Linked DNA regions of Diceros bicornis minor. The protein of the gene in region 1 interacts with the protein of each later gene in a pairwise test. Links are inferred from orthologs where the notes say so. Each region holds a gene or a part of one and is shown in the gene's direction. Other genes may lie near its edges.

Evidence for each region.
Region 2: the proteins of CBY2 (region 1) and LMO1 interact in binary tests that used the Homo sapiens proteins (3 or more experiments, as listed by UniProt). The two-hybrid records come from large-scale screens. The link is inferred for Diceros bicornis minor from reciprocal best matches to the Homo sapiens genes CBY2 and LMO1.
Region 3: the proteins of CBY2 (region 1) and METTL17 interact in binary tests that used the Homo sapiens proteins (3 or more experiments, as listed by UniProt). The link is inferred for Diceros bicornis minor from reciprocal best matches to the Homo sapiens genes CBY2 and METTL17.
Region 4: the proteins of CBY2 (region 1) and MMAB interact in binary tests that used the Homo sapiens proteins (3 or more experiments, as listed by UniProt). The two-hybrid records come from large-scale screens. The link is inferred for Diceros bicornis minor from reciprocal best matches to the Homo sapiens genes CBY2 and MMAB.

Annotation. Positions count from the first base shown.
Region 1 is NC_080748.1:31,138,756-31,146,435, reverse strand, and holds the start of CBY2 (protein chibby homolog 2), read left to right. Parts: upstream 1-4,665; 5' UTR 4,666-4,798; coding exon 4,799-4,885; intron 4,886-7,680.
Region 2 is NC_080746.1:67,144,753-67,151,776, reverse strand, and holds the start of LMO1 (rhombotin-1), read left to right. Parts: upstream 1-4,020; 5' UTR 4,021-4,045; coding exon 4,046-4,067; intron 4,068-7,024. UniProt on the Homo sapiens protein: May be involved in gene regulation within neural lineage cells potentially by direct DNA binding or by binding to other transcription factors.
Region 3 is NC_080744.1:28,280,926-28,288,222, reverse strand, and holds the start of METTL17 (methyltransferase-like protein 17, mitochondrial), read left to right. Parts: upstream 1-4,289; 5' UTR 4,290-4,315; coding exon 4,316-4,396; intron 4,397-4,531; coding exon 4,532-4,685; intron 4,686-4,772; coding exon 4,773-4,907; intron 4,908-5,809; coding exon 5,810-5,891; intron 5,892-6,149; coding exon 6,150-6,231; intron 6,232-6,554; coding exon 6,555-6,628; intron 6,629-7,074; coding exon 7,075-7,169; intron 7,170-7,297. UniProt on the Homo sapiens protein: Mitochondrial ribosome (mitoribosome) assembly factor. Binds at the interface of the head and body domains of the mitochondrial small ribosomal subunit (mt-SSU), occluding the mRNA channel and preventing compaction of the head domain towards the body.
Region 4 is NC_080774.1:17,971,899-17,979,182, forward strand, and holds the start of MMAB (corrinoid adenosyltransferase MMAB), read left to right. Parts: upstream 1-4,266; 5' UTR 4,267-4,285; coding exon 4,286-4,398; intron 4,399-7,174; coding exon 7,175-7,236; intron 7,237-7,284. Other genes in the region: MVK (mevalonate kinase), read right to left, coding at 1,882-2,029, 2,912-2,989. UniProt on the Homo sapiens protein: Converts cob(I)alamin to adenosylcobalamin (adenosylcob(III)alamin), a coenzyme for methylmalonyl-CoA mutase, therefore participates in the final step of the vitamin B12 conversion.

The DNA of each region.
Region 1 (7,680 bases):
CGGAGGGGTTGCTTGAAGGAGGCACACTGCAGCAAATGTGGGGAGCACAAAAGCTTCTTTACATAAAAGACAGTTTGCTCAGCCTGGAATTGTATCTGTAGCTTTCACTACCCAGGACATGCAGAGCATTGCTCTTTGAATCAGAGGATTATGGAAAAGGGGAGGCGAGGGGTTAGGAATCAGGCCGACAAACACCCCAGACAGGTGGCTACCTGGTGATAACCTGGGATTTCCAGGGAGGGGAGCTTAGTGCTCATTGAGACAGACTGTTGGACAGCTCTTATGAATAATAAATAATGACGACGATCCTGGTAATAATAATGATAAGACAGAACACGGCAGTAGATGTGGGATTATTCAGCCACCATTATTCAGCTAAATATGTACCAGGCACCATATTTAGCATGTAACAAATTACACAGATTTTGCCTATAAATCTTTTTCCCCTGGGCTTTCGACCAGCCTCCCAGGTCTGCTCTCTGGAGCTACATACAACAAATTTCTTCCGCAGCGGGCTGCAAATGTTTAAAGGTAGCTTTTAAGTTCTTTACCTGTTTTTTCTCTTCTTTTTGGTGCTAAACTTAAGTTTATTTTTTGAACCTGATACAGGTATTTATATGGATCAGTATTAAATTTCATCTTGCTAGCTTTGTCTCACCCTTCCAGGCTGCTCAAATGTTTGTGAATCCGATTCTATCATTCAGTGTGTTAACCAGACCTTTTAAATGTGCTACTGAGAATGATAAGCTTCCAAGTCTTCCTTCCTATCCCATTTTCCTTTCTTCTTTTCCTCTTTCTTCTGCAGACATCCATGGAGGACTTTCTATGTAACAGACACTGTCAGGCACTGGGGCTGCAAGATCACGTAAGGCACACCTACAGACCTCAAGAAAGCATCTTGCTTAAGCAGGGAGACAGAAAAACGAATTAAAATATGGTATAGTGTGATTACGTCATGAAAGAAAGAGGAAGATTTTAACATGAGTTGGAAGAGCATTATCTGTAAGGGGAGAAAATAGGAAGCTAGGAGGATGCCACCCTCTGGCTTCTGGGGTGTGGGGCCCATGAGAGAAATGGGCAGTCTCCATGTAGATAAATGCTAGCCAGAGGGGTCCCAGGGCTGGGGTGGGGGACAGGCTTTAGCCACCATAAGGAAATGGAAAGAAAATTCTGTGTAGAGGATGAGGGTAAGGGGAGCTTATTTACGGAGGGGGCTAGGCTATTACTGTCTGGTGGTACAGCCTTTTCTCCTATCTCCTACCTGCCCGACCAGTGGGGCCCCCAACCCCCACCTGACCTCCCTAAAGAATCAAGTTCAGCTGCCTTGGCTCATGGGTCTAAGTTTTGACACGGCAAACTGGAGAAGCACCGAGCATTCTAGATTTCAATTAGAGACCAGAGAGGGACAGAATGAGAAAGGAAGGGGGTCATTTACGACCTGAAAATGCCCAATTAGTCATTGGGAAGGCTGGTAAGACCAAGAGCAAAGGGATTTTTTGTTACGACTGCTCATGGGGTTCTTCCAAGCATAATCATGTGGTCATTTAGAGGCTGTCCTCAGTGTCCAGGCCGAATGGCTCATTTGCTCACATCACAGAGCCCAGGATGGTGCCTGGAGTCTGCAAATTTCCAGGAGTTAGGAATTTTGTAGGACAGAGAATAGGTGGCCTTGGTAGACCCATTATCCCATGTTGGACCCATGTCTTATTCAAAGAGGGATATCCCCAGGCCCTCCTAAGGAAAGAAACCTCCGCAGCCAAGAGGCTACAGAGTCCTGGGAATTAGTGGGTTCTGGGCCAGTGCCAGGTGCCACCTGGGAGCTGTCCCTGAATCTCTGCTCAGCGCTTCCTAGAATCCCTGAACCCCATAGAAAGCTGGTTGCACCGACTGATTTGGTTAGGGCTGAGGAGCTCCACTTGCTGTCAGGAGGGCAGAAAATTATAACCCGGGTGAGGAGTGCTGCTAGTGCTTATTTCCTTAGACAGTGCATCAGGGAACATGGTCAGGTGTAACTCCTGGGGCACTGAGTGCATGGCCATGGGCGGGTGCAAACCACACTCATATAGCTGAGCTCCAAAAGCGTGGCTTGAAGCTGTGACCCAACATAAAGCTGAAGTTTATCACAACTACTGGTGAAAATAGGCCTGGGGATCTTGGACGGATTTGGAGCTGAGAGGCAGGCTCAGGACTTGGGCTGTGCTGCCTGAGCATCCCTTTCTTCTAAAAGGCAAAGGCACCAGTCTAAAACGGCATGATGCCCGGCTCCACATTTTGGAGTTTGGGGGGATTAAATATGAAAAACTAAATAAACTCTGTTATTAAACCAGCACCTCCTATTTTTGGTGGGACAGGAAGAATGTAGGCTTATGCTTCTAGACTAAGAGACTTGGAGCTACACAACCCGGAAGTGAAGAGGCCAACTAAACCCCTAAGATCTAGGAGGAGACCAGCAGGTGCTGGGTTGAGGACTCCTGGCTGAGGACTGCGAAGGGTGAGGAATTTGCTACTGAGGCGCTACCTAACAGGACACATCAGCCCCGACTACAGCAGCAGAGATGGGAGGGCAAGGCTTCACCCTGTCTCAAGGTGCAAGAGAAGCCTCAAGCTTTGGTAGATAGTTGTATGTGTTCCTTCCAATAGCAGACTGGAGAGAAACTTGGTTCTAGCACAGGCGAGCTTATTTAAAACTCGACCTGTAGGGCTGACGTCTTTCCTATTAATCCTCGATGTGCCTAGAAGGAGGCCCTGTTAACAGTGTTACATTATTTAACATTAAGCGTCAACTTAGAAAAAGGCAGGGGCTCTGGGCCAGTCATGGACTAGCTCTAGTCAGGTTGGGCATTTCCAGTTCCTCAGAGCTGGGGCCGAGGGCTCTGTCTGCTGAGCAGTCCTCCTGGCCCTTTTTCCGTCTTCTCTCGGTTTTCTACTCCAAGATATTCACAGTCCTGCTTTATTTTCTGGAGAATGCAGTATACATTTCCAGCAATTCTTCCAGAGGGAGATTTCTTTTTGGGGTCCCAGCCTCACTCTCAAATTTTCTTATTTTAAAGCAAGCGTGTTCATTCTTTAAAACCCAACTCAAAGTCACCTCCTCTGTGAAGACGTGCACGCTCTTCTGGAAGGTCTATCCTCTTTTTCCCACAGCTCTCTCATGCCCTTCTCTTACTGCACTGTTCACATTTGTTTGCATGCCTGCCTCACCCATGAGACGGCAGCCTCACACAACGCCTGGCATGTGCAGGATTTCCACAGAAGTTTGTGGACTGAATGGATGATCCATGGGAAGAAAGGGCACATAGGAGACTGACCTCACATCAAGTTTTCGGTCTGGACTTTTCAGGCCCCCATCCATCTAACTTTCTCTCCTGCTGTGGAGGGACAACCAAGAGATGAGTTGTGAGTGGGCTCAGAAGGCAAAGTTGAAGCTGATGAAGAGAATGGGGTGAGCCATAGCGCCTTTGGGTGTAGCTCAGTTGCTGCCAGTAGATGCTTGGAAACCGTGGCTGGAGCAAGGGGAGAAGTCTCATTTCTGTAAAGGATCCAGGGTGTTCTAGAGGGCTCTGCAAACGCGAGGTCGTCTTGTGGCCGTATGGTCCTCAGTAGCTGTTTATAACCTCTCTAACTAACTGGCAGGCTTCTTGGCTGAAGGCAGCTGCCTTCCCTCTTGGGGGAACAACTGATGGCCTACTTGGGCAAGTTCCATGGCGCCATGCCCACGCTGATCCAGATCCACATTAAAAAACGCCAGGGGGCAACACTGAAGCCAAAAAGTTCTGTTGACCTCCCTTAGACCAGTCAGTGCAGTTTTTAGCAGTTTGGACACCCCAGTGCACTCATTAAAACACAATTCCCTAAGGCCTTTTTTATAAATGGAATTTCAAATGTATTCAGATTTGAACTTTCAAGGAGGGTGACCTTGAGCAGCCACTCAGCACAGAACATCTGTGGAGGACCAGCCACTGGCCCCTCCTCACCTTCTCCCTGGAAGTTTAGGACCACTGCTTCTCTCTCATTTTAAGGTCGGGGGGGACAGGGGTGGGTGGGATGACAGGGGAAACTGATTTGCTTTGGCTCACAGGAACTGGTTGTGCACAGGGATGGAATTTTGGATGCGGTGAATTGTTTTTCCTGCCTAGTTGACTGGACTATGCAGGCTGAAAAGGAAGAAATTACACCGTCCACACCCATAATGTTTCCTTAAACTCAGGGCCAGGGTTCTAAGGACCCAGTCCTCCTTTATTTGCAGAAGTGTCAGGGCCCAACACCGCCCTTCACAAAGCGTAGAAGCGCGGTCACAGCAGGGAACAGGAGGGCCAAAGGAGGGAGGGGCAGAGAATGCGGAGAGAGACAAAGAATTCCGAGGTGACGCTTCTTTGTTCCCCAGACTCTGGACGCAGCTCCCCCTCCCTCCTGCCTGGCGGGGGCCGGAGGAGGAGGAGCGGGTCTCCCGGAGCACGGGCGGCTAAGGTCGGCAGCCCTTACCCGCGCCGACGGCGGCGCAGCTCCAGCGCCGTCTCCCAGGCTGCACTCGTGTGTTTCAGCTCTCAGTTGCCATGGGAACGGCGCCCCTCTCCCTCCCCCGCGCCCTTCTAAGGCGTACCGGGGTTCCAAGCCTCTGGACCTGCCCCCGGCTTCCCTTTCCCAGCCCCCGTCGTCGCGGCGGAAATGCTGGGCCAAGCGTGCGTGGCTGGCCGGAAAGTTTTCATTATTTGCGTCATGGCCACGTGCATCAGGTGTTCCCCCGAATGGGGACGGTGGACGGCAGACCGCTAGTACTGGGTGTCGGCTGGCGCCGGCCATGCTGCTAATCCACACCGTGCTCCGGGGCAGAGGAGGCGCGGCAAAGACTGGTGGAGTTTTATTTGATTTTATTATTTATTTAATGGTATGTAAATTTTATAGCTTTATTTTTCTGTTTCCAGAATCATGCCGCGTCAGCTTTCCCCAATCCCGGGCCCCAGCGCGAGCTTGTGAGGGGTTGCTGAGATGGAGACAGGGCCTGCGACTCCCTAGAGCTGAGACTCTCTAACTCGGTCAGGTTGTGGGCTGCAGGGTGTGCTGGCCGGGAGAAGGGCGGGTATTCCCCTGAGGCACCCTGAGTGGACTCACTTGGGCTGGTTCCCAGGACAAAGACCCCTAAGCAGCCTGGAGGACTGTCGGGGGGCGGGGGCAAGGAGCTGCCCTGAGGGGACAGTCCACGTGCAGAGGCTTGATCTGGGGTCAAGGGTTGGAGGAAGCCGATGAAGTTCACATGCCGTGGCCACTCTGAGTGGACTTGTTGAGGGTTGCAGAGTGGCCCAGGTCGGGTGAGGCGGCTGGGTTGCAATCCATTTCTGTGTAAGCATTTCTGCTCAGTTGTCAGAGTTCAGAAGAAAAGGACTTGGATCTTTGAGGTGCCAGTGATTTGCTGTGATTTCTTCTCACATTCTAAATAGCTTATTCACTTTTGCACCTAAATTTGTATTTGTAATATTTTATTCTTTTTCTCGAAGAGAGTCCAAATTGTATAAGCTCCAGGTCTCCACAAAACCTGAAGAGTCGTGAGTACCCTATGCACACCAGCAGTGTGTGTTACTGGGCTTCTTCATATTGTCTCTCCGTGGCCTGTGCCAGGCTCTTGGGAAGGGGGTGGGAATGACAGAAAAGGGGACTCCAGTGGGAGAGGCATGTGACGCAGAGAACCTCTGTGGTTCTTGGTGGTTCCACCTCTGCTTGGTGGTCCTGTAGGAGATGAGCAAATGGAAGGTGACCAGATAACTATTTCTGCCTCTCTCCCTTCCTACTCCAACGTGGAGAAAGTTGGAGGAAAACAGAAGAGAGGCCAAGTCCATATGAGTATCACAGGGCGACAGTAGGAGCCTCAATGAGTTGGGGAGGGGTGTAGCAGAAGCAGAAAGACAGAGGATGCTACCTGGTGTCCGAAGAGCTCTTGGGATTGTTGGTTCCCAAGGATTTCTTGAAGCACAAAGGAAGAATTTGAGGCTAGGTTGTTACAACCATTTTTGCTGGGACTGGTCAAAGACTACTTCTGGGATCTACACACCTCTCAATTATACTCAGGGACACTGCCAAGGGCTGGCTTGGGGGGACTTTTGTAGCCCCCATCATCTCCAGCAACCTCACCTGAATCTAACTAAAAAGTGTACTTGGTTTGCAAACACAGCTTCAAGATAAGTTTCTTAGCCTGCTGTTCCCCACAGTCCCTGGCCGGTAAGGCTCTGTCACACAAATTTCAGTGTCCATTCTTCAGCCTGGTGACAGGCATCTTGGATGGTGTCATGGTAAGGCCTTCCACAAGATGGTGCTCATAGGTTTTGTTTTTATTATTTCTTGCTGTTGATTGATTCATCCCTTTGTCAGTATTTTATTGAATGCCTATTATGTGCTAGCATTGTTCTAGGAGGTTCTGGGGATATAGATTGAAGAAGACAAAGTCCCTTGTTTCAAAGAATTTAACAAGGCTGTGATTTTTACACTTTCAGAGGCAAAACTCAACTGTGATGTAAGTTTCCCTATTTATGTTGCTGATAGATACTTTTGATAGTTGTGCTACATTTCTGACAGTTGCACACTTTTTTTCCCTCTGGACTGGGATGGCCTGGAGGAACTATAGACACATTTATTATTTGCATGGGGAAAGGATTAACTTATATCTGTCTGTAGAAGCCACTCTCTGAGATCCACCCTTTTGTCAGGAAAACACAACATCTTAACTTGAATAATTCCAAATTGTTGCTAAGCATCAGCTTATCATTTTGAAGTCGCAGCTTGGGATTCATCTGCCCATTTGAGTGAATTCACAGCTCTTTTTAAAGAAAAATTCTAGTAGGTCTTTCAGGTATCCCAGTGACCCGCCTTCAAGTGAGAATGAGATGGGCCTTGATCTTGGTGAGAATTTATCAGTCTCTTTTTTTGCTTTTCATAGCAAAATGTCAACCTTGCCACCTAACCTTCTACCCCAGAGAATAAGCACATTCAAAGAGCTCACTCTTGCCAAAGGCAAATCTGAAATCACAGTTGAGAGAGAGAGACAGAGGTCTGTGTGAGCTGATCCAGATTCCTCCAGCTTTGGTAAGCTCCATCCTTGTTCTAAGTTAGATTCCTGAGGGCAACATCTTTTAGGACCTTTGCTACACCAACTTGGCTGCTTCCAGAAGTACCTTCACTTAGCTATGATTGAAGAGTACGCCCTTGATTTTTATTGCCGATTGATATAAAAATGGTCATAAAACAAATGTTTCTGTACTTTTGGCAAAAATAATGGTTGAAGCCCTTGTTCACTTTACCATTCCACGTCCTTTCTGTAAGCATTCACAAGAAACCCAGACCACCTGCTTGACTTGACATTTCTGCTAGGGTATCCCTAGGCGTATTCTGTTTAACATGGCCAACATCAAACTCCTGATCTTCTCCCACGATCTGCTCCTCCCTCAGTCTTGGTCGTTTCAGTAAACTCCACTGCTCAGCCAAGCATCTCAGAACCATCTGGACTGCTCTCTTTCTCTCTCACCTCGCATGTAACCTGTTCTCAGATCCTGTTGCCTCTGCCTTTAACACACATCCAGAATCTGGTCATTTCTCACCACCTTCTCTTGTCTGGAGACTTTGACAGGCTTCTTAATTGATCTCTCTACTTATGTGCTTTGTTCCCCTACAACTATGCTCAACACAGCATCCAGA
Region 2 (7,024 bases), on another chromosome or scaffold:
AATGGGACAGGGGGACCAGATGGTTGGGGAGAAGAGAGATGGAGCATGGGAGAGCAATTGTGGCTTCAGGAGGCCATCCAGGTGGGGAGGGAGGATGGGAGCAAGGTCTTTGGTCTGCCTGATGTTGATGTGGTGCGCTTTGCGTCTCCTGCTGAGCTCTACTGCCATGGGGCAAAGCTGGTGGTGGGGGCTGTTCCCCTGTTATTGTTCTGGCCCCTTCTTGCTCACACAGCCTTTCCCTTCATGTTCGTTGTGTAGCTAAGACAGGTTGGAACATAAAGGCCATACAAATGCCGAGTACCAGATCTCATACATTTACAGTAATTAGCCCCCAATTCTGATACTCTGATTCTCCTCTTCAGGATCCTCCTCTCCAAAAAGTTGTGAGACCTTCTAGGAGTGCTTACACATGTGACCCAAGTACCTCCTGAACATTGCTAGATTTTGTGTTCTGGATAAGTCATTTTGTCTCTGATCATCCCAGGGTTGGGGGATGAGGTTGATGGGCTAGGGGTGTAGATGCCTCCCATATTATCAGAGCTGCTGCCCGACACTCTGGCCATCTTGTCATTCATTCCACGCATGTGCTGCTGCCAATGCCACCAAGCTGCTGACCTTAGCTGCTCTTGTCTTTCTCGGCCAGCAGGGACATATGTTTTGCTTCTAGTGACCAGCTCTTTCACAGGGGGCTCCCATAGCAAAGCTGTAGGGCCCTTAGTGACCCGGTTCCTCATTTGCACCACTGCCCTCTCTTCTTGAAGCACTGGTTAGGAGTGGGTCAGGCCTGGCTTTGTGCCATACCTGGAACTAGTGACCCTGCAAACTCCAGGCCTGGTGGCTCAGTCTAGTCCCCCCATGAGGCTCTCCTCTCAGGAACCTCACTGTCTCTCCAGTGTGGTCCTCGTTGTGGACTTCAGTCCGTATGGCGGGTCTGTCCACATCTGAATCTCAGCTGTGGACTGAGTTCCATGTCTTTCACCAGTGCTTGGGACCCATAAAAATTCAGACATGGGGCTGAGCACCTGTTTCAGTATCCCTGACCACTCCCTGATGGTTAAGCTCTCTGAATTTTCTCTTTCTCTATGAAAACCAGGAAGCTGGTCTTCTAACAGCTCACACAGGCCCTTGGTGCAAGTGCGGGCGGGGGCAGGGAAGGCTGGGTGCTTGCCCCTCAGGCTGGCCTCCCTGAGTGTGAACTCTGGCCGAGCAGAGATACCTACATGGTGCCTTTGTGCAAATTAGCAAAAGGTGCCCTCTCTGGATGGGTGCAGCCCATGCCAGGTACATGGCTTGGAGAGCAGAGAGAGAGCAGTATTTCAGCCCCTCTTGCTCCCTTGGCCAGATGCTCTAGTGCAGGGAACCAATCTAGGCACCAATCTAGGCGCCAATCTAGGCAGTGGCGTGCCTAGCTACACAGAGAACTAAACAACATGGAGATCCAAATACTGGGCCTCCAGAGGAAGCATGCACCTGGGTTCTGGTCCCATGCCATCTGAGATCCTGGGGAAAAAGATGGTGCCCAAGGGTCTCCTTCTGAGCCTCCATTCTTGAATCCAAATCCCTCCCCTGCCTCTGTAGCTCCCATTCTCTCCAGTGACCCAGTGAGACTCTTGATACCACATCTGTCCTCCCGCTCCAGGGGAGAGCTGAAATCCTGCCCTCAGGGGCTGATCTTGTCCCTCAGGCTTCAATGGAGTAATCCACACAGCACTCAGCAACCCAGCCTTCACACAGAAACACCCACTTAAAGGAACATAGGGGAGCTATTTCCTCAGAGGACTTTGAGAGGGACAAGGGCTTTCTAAGCAGAGGGATGCCACAAGAAGAGTCGTTGGAGCAGGAACCTGTGGGATGCATTCAATTACAGCAAAGCAGTCCAGAGGGGCCAGAGTGTAAGATTGTTGATGGAGATCAATAGATATCAATTGAATTGAAGTGAGGGATAGTGGTGGTCGCAAAGACTTCCCTGGATCTCTTGAAGCGCCTGAAATGAAAGGATAAGTAGTTAGGCTTTGTTTTATGGACAATGGGGAGCCATGGAAGATTTTTGAGCAGGAGAGTAGCAGGGTCAGATCTTAGCACCGGGAAGATGACTCTAGTGGCTTGTGCAGGATGGTGAGGAGGATTTGCCAACCCCAGGCATGGGTTGCTCAGTGCAATCTCAGTGGGAGATTGCGAGCAGCAGATTTGAAAGATCATTCTGAAGAGCACCTCTGAGTACCCTCCTTTTCTTCACTGAATTGAATATAATTCATTCAGTCATTTCACAAACTTTTCCAGATACTGTGTGGGTCTATGCGCAAGGATGGAAGAGAGCAGGAGGAATCAGGATGAGCCCCCCCAGACTTCTCTCCACCCCTCAATCAGAATGTGTTTTGATAAGTGGGGGCTTGGGGACAGCATAAGGGTGACAAATCGTGTCTCCCCCACCAATTAAATTTTATAAAAAGCTGCTATGGAAGGAGCGAATATTAGTTTCCTGATTTATAAAGCCAAATGGATTAAGCTCATTCATTGCCCTAGGAAACAAAAAGGAAATCTTCAATACCTCTGTGCACATTGAGAACAGGAACAATACCGGTCTTTAGAAAGCAGAAACCTAATTTGGGGGAATCAATTACCCTCTGTGTCCCTGCCTTTGCGGGCTCTCTCACTCGCGCTCTCTCAATAGATTTCCTGGGAGGTAAAATGTGGAGAAGTTGGTCAACCATAGGCACACCCTCCGTTCATTCTTGCAGACAGGAGGCAAAGAACTAGGGTAGAGTGGGTGGAGTTGGGAGGGGGTGTGCCTGCGTCTCAGGCACATGTGGAAATGGAGGGGCAGGAGCGGCGGAGGGCTTTGGGATAAAAGGGATAAAAGCAGGAGGGGGGCAGTTTCGGGAGGGGCCAAGGAAGGGGGCAATGGGAACTGAGGTTTTTAACTCGTGGTGGGGGGGGCTGCTGCGGGGGGAGCATAGCCCAGCCAGTGCACAAACAGGTGATGGGGGGAGGGGGACACTGGGCCCCAGCCTGGCTCCAGCGTCACCCACCCCTCCTGACCCTCCCCGGTTTCTCTTCTGTGGTCTGCACTTTCCCCCTGGGTTTGAGCGTGCAGCGGACAATGGCAGGGCAATTATGAAAAAAGAAATGGGGTCGCCTGCCACAGTAGCCAGGGAGTCACATTCACAGAGTCACCCACAGAAGCCCTCGCACAATCTCATACATTCCGGTGCTGGGTCTCAAACCCCGGCCCACAGTCCCCAGACTCGGAGCCACACCCAGCCCGATGCACTCATGCAGTCCCTCACAATCACACGCACGGAGTCCCACACTCACAGCAGCAGGGCCACACACTCAAAACTACACGCCCCCACACTCCCACCCGCAATCGCACGCATTCCGCCGCCCCCAGTCTCCTCTTAAGCTCACAACGTGCCTCACCACCCCACACAGCCCTCATCCTGGCATGCGGACACGCACACACACACACACACACACACACCCCGAGTCCCTCACACGCACACACTCTGGCTGTGCTTTTGTGTTTTGTCAGAATTAATGAGAAAAGTTCCCGTGCCCTGCGGGTAATTAGTGTCCTTGGAGTTAAATAAGCTAATGGCGGGCACCTCTGGCCCAAGCAATTATGTTTGTGTATTGAATAATTGATTCAAAGGGGGGAAGGGCCGCTAATCAGATCTGAGCATAATGAATTGATTTAATTAACAGGGGAATCAGAGGGGCCCTGGGAAACGCAGGCTCCATTCGGCGGCGGCGAGCGCGGCCCGCGCGGAGAGAACGGGCGCGCGGCGGCTCCGGCTCCAGCCCGGCCCGGGCGGCGGCTCCGGCGATCCCGGTCCCGGCTCGCGCCCGCGCTCCCTCCCGCGCTCCCCGCCCGCGAGGCTGAGCTCCCGGCGCCCGTCCGCCCGCCCCCGTCCGCCGCCGCCGCTCTCGGGGCGCGGAGCCCGCGCGGGGCCGGCGCGAGCAGCGCAGGCGGGCGGCGGCGGAGTCGGAGCCGCGCGCCCCTCCGCGTCCTCCGCCCGGGCCGGGCTGGAGCCGCCGGGGGACCATGGTGTTGGACCAGGAGGACGGTAGGTGCCGGGGACGCGTGGGGCGCGGGGCGCGGGGCGCGGGGCGGGCCCTGCCGAGGCCACCCCGCTCGCGGCGGCAGCGCCCCCTCCGCCGGCCCGGCCGCCTTCCCGGTAGCGGGCGCTGGGTGTGCGCCGGGTGTGGGTGTCGGGGGTGCCAGACTCAGCCCCCGAGGTGCCTCAGCGGGATTGGGAAGTCACACGGGTCACCCCGGGCCCGCCAGCCCCGCACGCTCCGGCCGGGAACTTTCTCACTGGCTCTTGCCGCCTCGCAGGCACAGGGAGCGCCTCTCCGACCCGCGGCCCGGCTTCCCCGCAGTGCCCACTGCTCCCCATCTCCCTGGGTGTCTGCACGTCCCCCTTTCCGCACCCGACTGCGGAACGGCTTCCCCAGGGGGATGCCCAGATAAGCTGGGAGTGAGGGTGCAGTCAAACCAGCACGGTCCCGGGGTCCCTCCGATCTGGAACTTCATAGCTGCCAGATGGGTGACACTACTTCACTCCCCGGGGCGGGGGCTGGGGAGGGCGCCTGCCATCAGTTTCCCCAGCCTAGCCTGAGGGAGGTGCCCCGCTGGCTAGGGTTGGTGGATGGGCCATATATCCAAAATATCAGGGGCAGATTTACCTGGAAGCTAATGAAGTTTAAGCTTCTGAGTCCTTCAGTGGTAATTTTGTATTAATTAGTGATCGTATATTCCTTTTCTTAAAGAGCTCCCCCCACCCTCCCAATTGCATAAGTAAGTTTGGCTCTCACAAAATCTGGACCCACCCCTGGGTCTATCTCACCCCCTTCCCATTCTAAATGCCAGTGTTTCAGGAGAACTCACAGCCCTGCTGACCCATGGACCATCCCCAGGGGCTGGTGCAGTTCCTTAGTGCCTAGGAGATGAGCCCTGAGGCAGGAGGCTGGGAAATTTGGTGTTGGGAGGCAGCTGCTGGTCTGCAGGGAAGGGTCTGGCTGCCTCGCCTTTCTCTCTGTCCCCACTAGTCCCTTGTCTCTCTCTACCACCTCCCACTATGGTCATGGACTGTCTGGTTTGCCCAGGACTGCCCGATTTTAGCACTGAAAAGCCTGCATCCTGGGAAATCCCTCAGTCCCAGGGCAGACTGGGACAGTTGGTCAGCCTACACCCACAACGGTCTCAGGCTGTTGTGTGGGGGTGGGTTGGCCTTCATCAGGGGGGTGTGGGAGACTTGTTTTCTGGGGTGCAGATTTCGCCTAGGCCTCCGCAGGCATGACAAATTATAACTGCAGCTTCCTAGAAGGCCTGTCCGGGGCTCCCAGAAACCAAAAGAGGAAAAGTTTGCCTGCTGCACCTTTTCTGCTCTACCTGGTTGCAAATTCCTGTGCATGGGCTGCTTTTGTGTGAGGAAGGGGCAGGGCAGGGCGTCTGCACTTGGCCAGCAGGCACCTTGATCGTACTGCAAAGTCTGTAGGTTGACTCCGTCCTGTCGCCTGTGGTGGCCACAGGGAAGGGGCCCTTGTCACTCTGAATACCTCTCTGAGCATCACCTGTGAGGGCAGCTTGTAACCCCGCTTTGGAGACAGCTGCACTGTGTTAGAAGCAGGGCCCTCGGGCTGAGGCACATCTGACAGCCTCCTCTGAAGAGTTCTGGAATATCTGGTCTGCCCAGGCCCTCGGGCACTGAGTCCACCCCCCCAACCCAACGCAGGAACCCTTCCTCAGGACTTTCCTGCCAGGTGCAGCCACAAGCTGCTAGGACCTGCCCAAACTTTGTAAAGCAGCCAGTCGCACCCCCATCCCTCACTGTAACCTTAGGGGCTGATCAGCTGGCCTCCCTCTGCTGTTCCCAGAGGCATTTCGAGGGCATTTGGGAGCACTCTTGGCAGTGTTGAAGTGTGAGTACATGCTCATCACCTGTGGAATGTGTTGGGTGCAAACTGCCTCCCCCAGCCCCAGGGGATCTGAGGATTCCACCCTGGGGTTGTGGGCCTGCCCCCAGACCTGGAGGCACCTTGGGTGGGGGTGAGCGTGGGCCCAGGACTTACCTGCCTGCCTAGCAATTACCCAGGAGCTGAGAGGGAGGCCGCTGTATAAGAGGCTCATGTCTGGCTTTGTCAACCCAGCAGGCCCCTTCCTGGCTCGGAGCTCAAGTCACCCAAATCCTCCAGGGCTTGCTGGGTGGCTCTGTAAACCAGACGGCCTCCATGGAGGTCCTTCTCCAGATCAGTGTGGGAGCCCAATGCTCACAACTGGGAGTACAGAGAGAGCCGCCTGGGGGCTCAAGCAGCCCTTCACACCAGCACCAGTCCTCTGCTGACGTATGCTAGCTGCTTCTGCAACCCATTGCTCAGCACCCCACGCCTGCTGCAGTCCCTGGATTGGGGCACAGGGCCCCTGACTTCTCAAGGGATGCCAGCTGTATGGCTGCTAATTGGGTACCTTGGAGGCTAAGGGGAGCTGGTGTTGGGATACAGTCCCAAGCACAACACGTGGACAAGAGAGTGGGACAGTGGTCCCAGCTAGTCGAGTCCTGGTTTATGGGTCAGGGCCGGACCCTGGAAGAAAGGAGAAACAGCCCTTGTTGAGTGAATGCCTCCGGGTAGCACAGAGGTGTCTGCAGCAAGAGGCTACCCCTTGCCAGTCTGTCAGGCCCACTGCTTGCTACGCTGGCTGGCCCCCACCTCAGGCTGGGGGGAGGGGCTGGCACTAAATGTGCCGGTGGCAGCAGTGCCAAAGCCTCCCTCAGACCCTCAGGGTATGGCTCCGGCTTCAGTGGCAGGGGAGAGATCAAGTTTGCAGTCCTGAGGGATGGTGAGTCTGAGCAAAATGATATATTTAACATCAAATATACTCAAGGACTATTAGGATTAAGTATTCAAGATGAAGGGGAAAGCGAAACCCTCTGAGCTGCGGATGAGGCATCTCATTAAAAGCAGCCTCTCTTCTGGTTTCTCAAAGCCTGACTTCCCTGCCTGGGACAGAGGAAGACAGGCT
Region 3 (7,297 bases), on another chromosome or scaffold:
TCTTGCCAGGTGACATATCAAGGCTCCCATTGAACTACAGTCTATAACTGCTGCCAGGACACTTTGGATTTCTTGGGTCTAGGGACCAGCAGATGAAAAGAGGAGTTACCATATGTCAGGGCTAAGTAACCCTAATCAGCAGGAGGAGGCAGGCTGCTTTTACACAATGGGGGCAGAGAGGAATTCATGTGGAACCCAAGTGATCTACTTGGGTGCTTCCTGGAATTCCCATGCTCCACTGTAACTGTGAATGTACATTTGTAGCAACCTTAGCCAGAGAAAGATATGACTATCAAGGGTTTAGACCCCTCAAGAAGGAAGGTTTGGGTCACAACACCAGATAAGTCACTAAGACATAATGACATGATAGCTGAGGGTAAGAGGAAATTAGAATGGATAGTAAAGGAGGGAGAGGATGGGTGCCAGTTACAGCCCTGGGATCAAATGCAGTGACAGTGGCTATAGTTTGTCCCACTAACCTCCTTCTTCTATATTTCCCTTCAGGAACAGAAGCCCATATGAAGCTTGAAGGAATTGTCCCTTGAACCTATCTGGAGAAGTAGATTTGTGTGGCTTTAGGGCAGCTATGAAAATGCACTATTCAGATCTCCTGCTGGGGGGATCATAACTGACCAATGGCCCTAACTGCCACACTGGTGAATCTGCTCTGCCTCCCATGGGCTGCTCTTAAAAGATGACTGAGTGCAGCAGAGATACTAAGTCAGGCCCATTTCCAAGAGATGCAAGACTCCTCCAACAGCCACCTTGGGCTCAAAGACTCTCCATCAGCCTGGTTGAAACTTTTTTAGAACTGTGCCTATCCAACGTGTTTTCGTTCCCTCTGTCTTTCACAGAGGTCAGACCTGCTTCACAGTCTGACAGCTCTTCCTATCTCTTCTTCTCCCCCTCTCTTTCCCCCTCACAGGCATTTCGCCCAATACGTGTCTTACAAATCGAATCCCATCTTAATGTCTGCTTCGCCAAGAACCTAAACTAACACAGACATGTCCACAAAACAGATTAAAACTGTAATCCATGGTTTCAAAAAAAGCTAAGAAAATAATCCAAGACATGAAAGAACAATAAGCATCAAAATTAGAAAAAAACTCAGAAAAAAAGGTGACACATTCAGGAGAAGTTACAAATAAAAGTAAAATCCTTTAGAAGATAAAGACTGGGGGCCAGCCTGGTGGCGCAGCGGTTAAGTGCGCACGCTCGCTGCAGCGGCCCAGGGTTCACAGGTTCAGATCCCGGGCATGCACCAACACACCGCTTGTCAAGCCATGCGGTGGCGGCATCCCATATAAAGTGGAGGAAGATGGGCATGGATGTTAGCCCAGGGCCAGTCTTCCTCAGCAAAAAAAAAAGAGGAAGATTGGCATTGGATGTTAGCTTAGGGCTGGTCTTCCTCACAAAAAAAAAAAAAGAAGATAAAGACCAACCTAGAAAATACACCAACACAAACACAACATAATGCCATAAGAGAATAGAAGATTTAAAAAAAGGAAAATAACAAAAAGAAATGAAGCAGGAGATAAAAAGGATACTATTTGGGATCTTTGATGGCAGAATTTCTTTAATTTCCCAAGAAACTTATTGCAGTTGCTTTACACCTTCATTGTTGAGAGTTTCTCTGAATCTAATTATTAGTTATTTCCCTTTTTCATGAACTCAGTGGAGAAAACCAGTTGGTCATCATCCATCTCCAACCAGATTATCCAAATCTTCCTCAGAGAATCTTTTTTATTTTCCCTTACTTAATTTGGGGGTGGGGGTTATTTCTCTTAATATTGTCTATTTTCTCCACATTTATGTCTGTTTCTTTTAACGTAGAGCCACTAATTGGAAATACTACCCAAGTCAAGGTATGACCAATGCTAACATGGCAGAATTCACGGATTAGGTGTGAAATGGGCTCATCTATGCATTTGGGGAATTGTGACCTGGTCAAACGATTAGACTCAGATCCTCAAACTAGTCTATTCTGCTGACCTTTTCCAAGCATGAAAACAAAGAGGGGTCATTTTATCAACATAATCAACAAATATTGATTAAGCATTTTCAATGCACCAAGAATTGTGTTCACTGTTTTAGATGTCTTGAGGACATCTTTGATCTATGAGGAAGATGGTGTGGACGTTTTTGTTTTCTTTTGTTTTTATGAACAATACTTTGGATTAAGAACAAAGACACTTAAAATTAGGTCTAAGTCAGCTTTTGAGATGTTGTATTACCAAAGGAAGAGAACAATCCCAATTAGGCCAGTGCTAGAATGAAGGAGGCCACAGCTATGTTGGCAGCTTGATGGGAAAAACAAGACGGACATTCAGAGGCACCACCCAAGTTCTCCTGCTCCTTACTCCTCAGTCTCCACTGCTCAGTCTTACTTGGCCCCAAATATCCCCACTTTCAAGTCTGTCTTGGAAATAAAACATAAATTTATAATAAAAATTAAAATGTGGGGCCAGCCCCGAGGCTTAGCGGTTAAGTGAGCGCGCTCCGCTGCTGGCGGCCCAGGTTTGGATCCCAGGTGCACACCGACGCACCGCTTCTCTGGCCATGCTGAGGCTGCGTCCCACATACAGCAACTAGAAGGATGTGCAGCTATGACATACAACTATCTACTGGGGCTTTGGGGGAAAAAAATAAATAAATAAAATAAATAAATAAATAAAAATGTGATTATGTCCCTTCAAGTTCCCAAAATACATGATCACATATATGATAACAATATCATAAATATATTGAGCATTTACTTTGGGCCAGACATTAGCTCATGAAATCATCATTCCAATAACCCTATGAGGTAGCAACTATTATTATCTTGCTGCTCTAGAATTCAAATTCAAACTGCCAGATTCCAGGTGCCAAGCATCTTATCCCTATGTTCTGCTACCTCCCTATGACAAAAAATAACATAGCCAATCTTATGCTACAGCTAACCTACAGTGACAGGGATATTTTATTTTGCTAATACTTGAGCCAGCAATTTAAAGTAAAAGCAAAGTGTCACAGACATGAGGCTAAGTGTAGCACTGTGAATCAAAGCGTGGGGAAACAAAATGAAGAAGGTGAACCTGAAAGGGAGGAGAGCAGTGAGTAGGGAATTTACAACAGTTGTCCTAAGCACCCCTCAAGTCTCCTTCCAGAGTATTCAGATTATAAAGCAAAGACCTCCTTTATTAGAATCAAAGCTTAATAACCTAAATGCAAACCAGACATTTAACTCTCCAAATGATACAGTTCCCCATATTCTATCTATAATTATCATATCTGGACTCTTTCAGTTACAGCAAAGGCAACAACACTTCTATCCTTCCAGCCAACAGATTTCTATCTCAAAAGGTTAAGATATACCAGAGTTGACTAATGTGTTTGCTATAGGAATCAACAGGTTACAACACAGTGAGTTTGTTTTAATGCTACACGGTAACTGAACACTTCAGAACATTTAGCATATTGTTCTTAGTTAACTTGCTAACTTGCATTCCAAGGAGCAACAATGTGAGGTAGGACTTATGTTTAAAAGTGAAGCTCAGACTCAGACTGCCTAGGTTTAAACCTAGTTGTCACCTAACAAGCTTTGTGATCTTGGGCGTGATATTTAACCACCTGAGGACTCACTTTTCTCAGCTGCAAAATGGGGTTAACAACAGAATCTACCTCATAGGATTGTGGGGACTAAATGGAGTAATATTGCGTAAAAGTGCGTGCCACAGTATCTGGCACATAATGCTCTAAGTGTCAGCTATTTATCAAAGAGGGCCGGTTTAATATGAAGACAAACTAACATGTAAAAAACATTAACTCTATTAACTATAAATCTCTGTTATCTTCGGTCACCTAAATCTGGTTTTTCATATCTCATCTTTCCGTTACTCCATTCTACTCTTTACACAAAGGGAAAAAAAACTCCAAGGCTTCAGAGTTCTCCGTAGTGAAAGCAAGGAGCTCAGGTAATTATTACACCCAGAAATAGTCTTTGCCTGTCTAAGGCGCCTTTCTAGAGACTCCAGGAAAGGGCCCTTCCCCACCCCGCCCCGCCCCGCCCCCTCGATGTCTGGACCCGGAGACCAGTCCCAACGCAGCCGCGACGCCACCTCGCTTGCGACTAGTTACGTGGGAACCGAGGTCCAAGTCCGATCCATGTACAGTTACTCTGCAAGGTGATTTACATATCTATTGTTTATTGGCTACCAGCAAGCACTGGCTCTCTTCATTGGCTAATACTGCCCGGTGCCGCTGTTCCGCAGGGCATGGTCCCCGCGAGGGTCACAGGCACCTACATTTCCGTTTCCGGGTCGCCTCGGGAGCCATGGCGACCGCGTTGGAACTGAAGTATCTGCAGACATTAGGCAGATGGCGCCGCGGCCTTGGAGTACTTCCCCAGTCTCGCGTGAGTGCCTGCTTTTCCCTGTTCTCGGAGGGACGCTGGATCTCTGGGAGGCGCTCTCGGCAGCTCCTCTCTAAGCGAACGCCCAGAACCTTGCCTTCTGCCCCTCGCAGTCAGCTTTCTTTTCCCGGGCTGCAGGCTCTCGCCGCCCTCGTGCCCGGCGTATCCCAGGTGGATAACAAGTCCGATTTTCTGGGGAAGAGGCCCCATCGCCGGCACCCTGGCATCCTGCAGCTGCCGCGCGTGCGGCTGCCGCAAGCCCTGGCTGACGCCGCGCAGTTACTGCTGCTCGGTGAGTGACGGTGGAAAGGGAGGCTCGAGAAGAGGCGGAGACTGGGGCTGCCCGCGAGTGATGCCGCTTTTCATCTTTCGCCCGTAGAGAGGTCTATGCCCAATGTGGAGAAGCAGGTGCAAGCACTGACCAATTATCTCTGGAGCCGGCATTTACCTATAGAGCCAGAGGAGTTGCAAAGACGGGCTGTACATCTTGAGAAAAAATTCTTGGAAAACCCAGGTAGGGCTTAAGAATAAAGAGGCCAAATTGAAATATCGGTGAGAAGTGAAGAGCAAGAAATAATATTACCGTCTCTCAAATAGATACTGCGTTTTCTTGCTTGACTTTCTGGCCAGAGCAGTTATTACAATGACGTCTTATCAAGAGAAGAAAGATTATTTCAGAGATTGCCCTTGGGGCTTTGGTAAAGGTCAGCGAGTGCTTCAGTATCCTGTTGAAATCTAGATGTTTATTTGTGTCCTCCAAGTCCGCTGGATTAGGACCGTCTAAGTTTTTATTCAAGTGAAATAAAGTCCCTGTTTGGCTCCCTGTCCAGTACTGGAACCCTCTTCAGGGATAGGAGAATACTAAGTATAATTTGTCAAGTTATTTTCATGATTGTGAGCTCCTGCATATTACAGACCTACTTTTTCTTCGTCTTGTATTCCCTGCACTTCCCACAGTGCCTGGTTCATAGTAGGTGCTCAGTAGATAAAATAGTACTGAACTGAACACGGTCATGAGGCTTAAGATTTTCAAGCCCCTTTCCTCCCTATAGGAACATTGGAGACATCACAATCTTAAGTGTGGGAGAAAGGAGGAAATCCACAATATATTGTCCTTATCCAATCCTTTGATTCTTTACCATACTTCCCTTGAATAAAGAACAAAACCTGTGGGATAGGGTTGATGGAGTTGAATAAACTGCTGGTAGAGGTAAAATACTATCTGATGCAATCTGTTGGTGGTGGTAGTCATCGTTATTCTTACCTGAACTTTTTCTCTAGGTTTGGCTTCTCTCCTAAGCTTTGAGGCTTTCCCTGGTGGGAGTTGGGGAGGAATGGGCAGGCAGTATATTCAGATACTGGATCTGAGCCCTGTTCTTCCTAGGTCCTCACTTCCAGTCCTTGTTCTCACCCCAGACTCATCTCAGACAGAGGAGAAACTTTGTGGAGCAGTGCTGCATGCCCTGCGCAGAACTACCTACCACTGGCGAGAACTGAGGTAAGGGGGACTAGAAGGGCTGTAGAAGAAAGAAAAGTTTGACTTCAGAAGGAGAGTTGGGGAAGTACAGTTACACAGTTTAGTGTTTGAAAAAGCTGTCTGGTTTGTAAGGCTCCCCAAGAATCTTCTCTGTTGAGGAGTGAAAGTGTTGAATTGGAAGAGCCCTTTCCAAAGATTTCGTTTCCTAAAAGTCTAGAAGATAGCTATGGGATAGATAGTTATTTTCCAGTGGGTATGACTCTCTGATTTTCCTGGCAGCTACAATGAGGGACTGAGCCTGGTGTACATGGCAGCAAGACTGGATGGTGGCTTTGCAGCAGTCTCCAGGGCATTCCATGAGGTGAAAGTCCCTCAACTTCAACCTGAACCCTTTTACCATCAGTTCCGTGATTCATAAAGTAGTCTCCTGGGATAGGATTCTTGGGACATTGCATGTCCATTTCTTTCTTTAAAGAGGCCCTCTTTATCCTCTGAAAAGATTTGTGACCCAAGAAAGATTTAGAATCACTCTTTTAGGAGCTTCCTATCCTATAAAGTATTTACATTGAATCTCAAAACACGTTCACGTCGCATCTCCTCTATCGTAGTCCCCTAATTCATATTCACCAAGGCTCTAAATAAGTGTCTATTTACCCTAATGTGGGGTGTTATATATTTCTTCAGATCCGGGCCCGAATTCCAGAGTTCCAACCACAAACCTTGATGGACTTTGGTTCGGGTACTGGTTCTGTCACCTGGTGAGTATCTTTCTCTGTCAATTCTAGCTCTGGAGAGCCATGCCTACACCACTTCAGTATCAAGACACTGTGGAACCAGAGGGAGAATAGGAAAGTTGGGAACTAGAATGTTTCTTGCCTCATGTTAGGCAAGGCGTAAGATTATGGATTAGGGCCAGAGCTTAAAAGAAATGTCAAGTAAAAAAGACGCATGTTTAGAAAGATAAAAAAGGAAAAGAATTTAGTCTAGGGTGTAGGTTTTACATATCATCAAAATTTTTTGCCTACAAGTAGTTTTTTCAGTCTGCCTTTTTTTTTTTAAGGAGTTATAAACGAAAATTGTTAGTTTTTCCAACTATTTTAACATAACACTCTGTTTCAGCAGGGGTGGGGTTGGAGGTGGAGTGGTCTCTTGTAGGGATGACTCATTGTCATGAGAATTGGCGATTTATATTTTGCCATCTTAGGGCTGCTCATAGTACTTGGGGCCAGAGCCTACGTGAATATATGTGTGTGGACAGCTCAGCTGCCATGTTGGATTTGGCAGAAAAGCTACTGAAAGGTGAGGACAAGGTATAAGAAGGGCTTTTCCAAAGTTGAAGGAGCTAAGAAAGCAAAGGAGTCCTAGAAAGGGTGTTTTATTGGGGAGTAGAGGAGAGGGCTAAAAGTTAAAGATGAATCTGATCTCCT
Region 4 (7,284 bases), on another chromosome or scaffold:
AAGCTGTGTGACCTGAGCCCCTTGGCCTCTGAACCTCAATTTTCTCATCCATAAAACGGGGATGAATAACATGACCTACTTCCAGAGAAGGCTGGAGAATTATAAGAGCGCTAACATACATAACACAGTGGTTCAGTGCCTGGCACATATAAACGCCCAAATGTTCACTGTGTTTATTATTATTAGGAGGGAACAAAAGGATGGCAGATCCTTGCAACCTAGGAGAAAACATCTCCAAAAGGCTCGGATTCCCTTGTTTCCTTGGAGAAGCAGACAAACAAGCCCTCACGTATGGACTGCCCTCTGCATCACAGCTCTGTGCCCACCTCTGATCCTGCTGTATCCTCACAGCAAGCCTCCCAGGCAACATGACTCTGCTCATGGAGGCTCTGAGGGTTAAGTGACCTGCCCAGGCTCAACAAGGAGTCAGAAGTGATCTGAGACACGTCCCGTCACACCTGGCTGCTTCCATCCGTGCTACTGACATACAGAAGCAGCAGCCAGTTCTCAAGGAACTTTTCCAGCCTGGCTGGGTGGCCCTGTGCACCACGGAAAGCAAGGTCCAGGTCGCTCTGGATAGCTGTTGTCAGACGCATGCTCCAAAGCAGTGGCTCTTAATCGAGGGTGTCTCCTTTCAAAACACACATGCCTGGTCCCCTACCACCAGCACCAATACTCAGTAGGAGACAGGCAGGGCCAAGAATCCATCTGTATTGTTGACAACCACCACCACCACCACCAAAAAAAACCTCCCCAGGGGCTCTCAGGGCATGACTGAGGTTGAAAGTGGTTGCTCTAAAACGGTGGTTTTCAACTCTCACTCCAGCTCCCGACCGTATGCGGGAGTGGCTTGCTATGGACTGATTCTCATGAGAGACACGGAGCAGACGGAAAAGACCCCGGAGGAGGTCCCCCTCTGGCTGAGAAACACTATTCCAAAGGATAAGGCAGCAGCCCCGGGAGGAGACAGCAAACTGAGCAAACACTCCAGCTCTGGCAGGTGGTGACTCTGTTGATGGAAACCCTGCCTGCTTATGAGCGGTCACGACATTCCTCACACTATCAAAAATTAGCATGGGGGCCTTCGTTTATTGCCATGGGAAGACCATCCTGATGTACTGAAGAAAAAAAAAAAAGAACCACACATTTCTGAAGAGTTTATATAACCTGATCTAATTTTAGTTAAAAAAAACCCACCAAGATATCTCCTACCTCAATCAATCTAACAATCCAGCTACAGAAAATAATCCAGAAGGATTAACAACAAAATGCTTAAGAGTTGTCACGGTGCGTGAGATGGGAGGTGGTGATAATAGGTGATTGTTTTTTACTCACGTTGTTCCAGTATTAATTGTATTTTCCAATAATAAGCATGAGTTACTTTTACTTTTAATGATTTTTAATTCTATAAAACGCTAACACGTTCTCCTGTGAAAACAACATCACAGAAGGTTAGGCTCCCTGTGTCCACTCCCTAACCGCAGGACCCTCCCAGAGGTAATGAATCACCCTTGTCAGGTGGATGTATACCTTCCCAGCCTTTTTCTCTGCATTTACATACATACTGATGCTTAGTCTGGGTCACTCCTCATCATCCTATATGTGCTGTTTTGCACCTTGTTTTTTCACTCAATGGCAGGCTCTGATGATCTGTCCACAACAGCTCACACAGATCTAGTGCATCACTTTATGCTTTTAAATTTAGAAAAATTAATAAACAAGTGAAGCTAATTTTATGGGCACAGGAGAGAAAACACCCTCAGAGTGGCTGACCTCTGGCTCTCTCCAGGACAGCCTGGAATGACTACTCAGCCACCCTCCTTCCCCCTCTCTTCAGGGTCCCGGCTCTTCCTACATCTGGTTCCTCCTCCCTGCACTTACCCAGAAAGCTCGTGTCCAGCAGCTGAAGCCTGGCCATATCCCAGGCCTGCTTGATGCCAATGTTTGGCAAGTTGAGGCCCACTTTCCCATTGCTGTGGGGTTGAAGCCGGAGGAACGTTCTCAAGTTCAAGGCCACAGCCAGTGCTACCTGCAGAATAAAGGCCAAAAGCAATTAGCCTGAGGGTGGGTGGCAAGGAGCATGGCTCCTGTCTTGGGAAAAAGGGGGCAATGTGAATGTGTTGAGAAGAAAGCAAATACTAGCACAAAGGCCACTCCCACCCACGCCCTTGGCAGACACTGCTGACCAACCTTGGCATGTTCGCCCACTACGCCTGGGCACAGCCACCACCACCAATGAGAAGTTAACATCTACTTATGTTTGCCCTCCCCATGCAAAACTTCAGTGGTTCTCACACCAGGAACGGCTTCCCCATAATGACCATCTTTACAAAGGTAAATATAAGTTAAGAACACAAAGAACGACAAAGTGGAGGAGCGGAAAAAGCAGGAGCTTTGGGTTAAATGGTTCAGACAGACTTAGGTTCACTCCTAGCTCTACCTGGCTGTATGGGCCCTTAGTCAAGTTACCAATCCTCTCCTAAGCCAGAGCACCCACATCTGTAAAACAGGATAATTAAAGCCCAACCTCAGAGGGCAGCTGTAAGAGTTAAATGAGATAATGCATGCTTCAGACTCCTTTGCTGGATCCTACTCACCTTCCTGACTTCTAAACGTTGGAGTGTTCAGAGCCCAGGCCTTGAACCTCTTTTCTTTTCCACCAAAGCTCACTTCCTAGGTGATCCCCTTCCACTGGCAGGGCTTTACCCATCATCATTTGCTATCTCCCTGAGTGGGCCAGAGAAGCCTTCAGCGGGCGTAAGACCTGTCTTTTCTCTGCCTGGCTGGGGAGAAATTGACCTCCTCTCTGATCTACTCCCAGACTGTGCCTCGAGGCTTCCTTCCAGCCTCTTTCACGATTAGTGTCAGGGAGAAGTGGTGTCAATCCTCAAAGGCTCTGGGGGCCTTTTACCTTGCCATGGACCACCGCATGCTCTCCATGCAGGATGACTTTCCCTGGAGCAGACACCAGCAGGACTTCTGACAACATGGCTCCTGGGAATCCTGAAAGGGAAAGCCAGAGAGAGGATGGAAGGTCCCCAGATGGTAGAGATCTTAGGGCATGCCTAGTTCAAGCTCAGCATTATAACAAAAAAGGCAGCACCATTCAGCACTTGCTACGTCCCACAAAGGCAGTGCGGGGCAGCAGTCAACTAGACGCGTGAGAAAGATCCGGGTTCAAACCCCAGCTCTTCTGCTCTCCAGGGATGTCATCTTAGCTAACTCACTTAAATGCTCTGAACCTCAGTTTCCTCATGTTATACGGGGATGATAACTGTACTTACCTCAATGGGTTTTGAGAAGGTTAAATTAACTAATGCAAGGGAAACATTTAGCAGTGCCTGGTACATGGTAATCACTTCATTACTGATAGCTACTTATTACTGGCTCTGCTCTTTGTTCCAGCTTTTACTATTAAAGGTAGACATTTAAACAAAATCATGGACCAGAAAGAACTCTTTCCTGGTCATTTACGCTGTTTCCAAAGTGTCACAATTATAAACAGGCTGCAGAAAACAGCTGTCGCATCTCTTTTTGCACACTTAAGCGAGGATCTCTACAAGACAGAGTCCCAGAAAGGGACTTGCAGGGTCTACGGGTGTGCGAATTTTAGATTTTTATAAATACCGCAAAATTACCTTCCATTTAAGGCTGTACGTGCCTTACCTCAACACGGTAATAAGACCTGAACTGCACTATGAACTAAGTACTATCGCGATCCCCGTTTCTTAGAAGGGAGGAAACCCACTGCTTGTCCGAAACTCAGTCATGTCTGTCAGATTCCAAGTCCCCGAACCCTCAGGACGGATTCTCAGTTAGGGAAACTGAGGCAGAGACGCCGGGAGCCCGCCCCGGGGTCATCCTGGGTCTCGGCCTCGGACCTCGCCCCCCCGGCCCCGCGCCCCTGGCCTCACCTGCCGCCGCTGCCCCTCCGCCCCGAGCCCGAGCCGCTCCGGGACTCCATCCCCCGGCTCCCGAGCCACGGGGGGAGTGGGCCGCTGCCTTCCGCCCAGCCAATCAGAGCGCGCGACCCGGGAGTCTCTTTACCAATTGGCTTGAGTATTGGCCAATAGGTGTTGCTAACCAAGTCGTCACGGGTGTCCCCGCCCAGCCCCTTCAGTAAACCAATGGGAAACGAGTCCCTGGGAGTGTCCCGCCCTGGTGCGAGAGCCACGGGCCAATGGAAAATGGCGGCTGAGCGGTGGCGCGGCCGACGGGAGGTGGAGTCACCCCGCGACCTGGACGGGAGCCTGGTGGGGTCAGCCCCCGACCCGCGGCCTGGCGCATGGCTGTGTGGGGCCTGGGAGGCCGCCTGGGCCTGCGCGGGTGTCTCGGGGCCAGCGGACTACGTCCCGGTTTCCAGAGCCGCGGCCTCCAGGGCGTGGATGACGGGGACAGGTGAGTGCCTGGCTGGGAGGGTAACTCCGACGCCTGCCGTGAATTGTGGTGTCGTCGCCATGGTTACGTCACACCGCTGTGAGGTCACTGCAGCAACCTCCAGGTGACGTCCTCTCTTAGTCGTGACGTCACCATGGCAACGTGGGCGCCGTGGAAGCCAGAGACCAAGATTTCTTTGCACAAGACAAGTCGAACGAGGCCCAGCTGTCATCCATCAGTGCAGGGCATGTTCCGTGTGGGCCAGGAGGGCCATCTCGCCTGGCCTCGCCATCAGGGGTGCCTCAATTCAGATTTTGACCTATCTCCAAAGCAGTGTATACCCTAAGACACAGAGATACACCCACACGATCTAAAGATGGCTGTCATCACGTTCCTTGAAACTTGCACCCCATTCCCGGACCTCAGAACCTGTGGAGTACCATGGATTAATATACTTCATAGATCCAATAATTTAACCTTTGAATAACTTTGTCGTGCACATTTTAATTTTTTTTCTTTTAATTAGCTTTTTAATTGAGGTCACATTGGTTTATAACATTATGTGAACTTCAGGTGTACGTCGTTATATTTTGACTTCTGTGTAGGCTACATCGTGTTTACCACCCAAGGTCTAGTTGCCATCTGTCACTGTACACATGTGCCCTTTTACCCTCCCCCTCATCCCTTTTTCTCTGATAACCACCCGTCTATTCTCTGTGTCTGTGTGTATGTTTGTTGTTTTTATCTTCCACATATGAGTGAAATCATATGGTATTTGGCTTTCTCTATCTGACTGACTTCGCTTAGCATAATAATGCCCTCACGTTCCATATATGTTATCACAAATGGAAAGATTTCCTTTTTTTTTTTTTTTTTATAGCTGAGTAGTAGTCCATTGTGTATATACTCCACATCTTCTGTATCCATTCATCCACTGACGGGCAGTTAGGTTGCTTCCAAGTCTTGGCTATTGTGAATAATGCTGCAATGAACATAGGGGTGCATATATCTTTTCATATTTGTGTTTTCATATTCTCTGGATAAATACCCAGAAGTGGAATAGCTTTATCATATGGTAGTTCCATTTTTAATTTGTTGAGAAATCTCCATGCTATTTTCCATTGTGGCTGCACCAGTTTGCATTCCAACCAGTAGTGTACGGGGTTCCCTTCTCTCCACATCCTCTCCAACACTTGTTATTTCTTGTCTTGTTAACAATAGCCATTCTGGCGGGCGTGAGGTTACATCTCATTGTCGTTGATGTGCATTTCCCTAGTAATTAGTGATGTTGAACATCTTCTCGTGTGCCTGTTGGCCATCTGTATATCTTCTTCAGAAAAATGTTCAGATCCTCTGCCCATTTTTTGTTCAGGTTGTTTGTTTTTTTGTTGTTGAGTTGTATGAGTTCTTTATATATTTTGGATATTAACCCCTTATTGGCTATATGATTTGCAAGTATCTCCTCCCATTTATTGGGTTGTCTTTTCGTTTTGTTGATGGTTTCCTTTGCTGTGCAGAAGCTTTTTAGTCTGATGTAGTCCCATTTGTTTATTTTTTCTTTTGTTTCCTTTGCCTGAGTAGACGTGGTATTCAAAAAGATACTGCTGGGCCAGCCAGTAGCTTAGTGGTTAAGTTCGTATGCTCTGCTTTGGCAGCCTGGGGTTCGCAGGTTCAAATCCCGGGTGCAAACTGATACACTGCTCATCAAGCCATGCTGTGGCGGCATCCCACATACAAAATAGAGGAAGATGGGCACAGATGTTAGCTCAGGGCCAATCTTCCTCAGCAAAAAAGAGGAAGATTGGCAACAGATGTTAGCTCAGGGCCAATCCTCCTCACCAAAAAAAAAAAAAAAAAAAGACACTGGTAAGACTGAGGTCAAAGAGTGTACTCCCTATGTTTTCTTCTAGGAGTTTTATGGTTTCAGATCTTATATTCAAGTTTTTAATCCATTTTGAGTTAATTTTTGTGTGTGGTGTAAGATAAAGTTCTACTTTCATTCTTTTGCGTGTGGCTGCCCAGTTTTTCCCAGCACTATTTACTGAAGAGACTTTCCTTTCTCCATTATATGTTCTTGGCTCCCCTGTCAAAAATTAGCTGTCCGCAGAGTCACATTTTAATTTTGAGGTCTGTATTAAAGGTGTTATGTTGCTATTTGAAAATGCCAGGTTTTGAACGCTGTTTTGGCAATTTTTTATTTCTGAGTATATTTGGAGGCTCCAAGAAAGGAAGAGGGCCAAGTTTCTTTCCCTCAAAGAGGCCTGACTTGGTGGAGTAGAGGGTAAAGAGTTTGGGTAGGGTAGAGCTAAGAATTTGGGGCCTGAAGTAAGATGGTCTTGGGCATGAATCCCAGCCCTACTGCTTCCTCCCTGGGTGACCTAGGAAGATGAGTCCCATCCTGTGAGCTACAGTTTCTTCAGCAGTAAAATGAACGTCCTATGTAGTGCCTACCTTTGGGGCTGTGGGAAGAGTCTAGGGATAATTCTGGGAGATAATGCCAGTAATGCACACAGTGTAGGGACTGTGGAAAGTGACCGATAAATTCTTTCAGCACATAGTTATTGAGCAGTGCACTGCATTAGCTACTGTGCAGATACGGATGTGGGCAAGGCACAGCTTGGGAGCCCACAAAGGGCTTAAAACTGAGAGGGATGGAGGAGATGTCAACAGAGATCCAAGCAGGGGGGGGTAAGTGTCGCCCGTGAGGCTACGAGCAGCAAGCCGGGACCACTGAAGGAGGGGCCCCCATATGTGAGCCATCCCCACTCACCACCTCTTGATGTCTCTTTCTCATTAGGCCACAGCCTTCCTCGAAGACACCCAACCTCCCCAAGATTTACACCAAAACAGGAGACAAAGGTAGGGTGGGGACAGATGAAAAATGCAAAGAAAGACGTGGCCAACTTC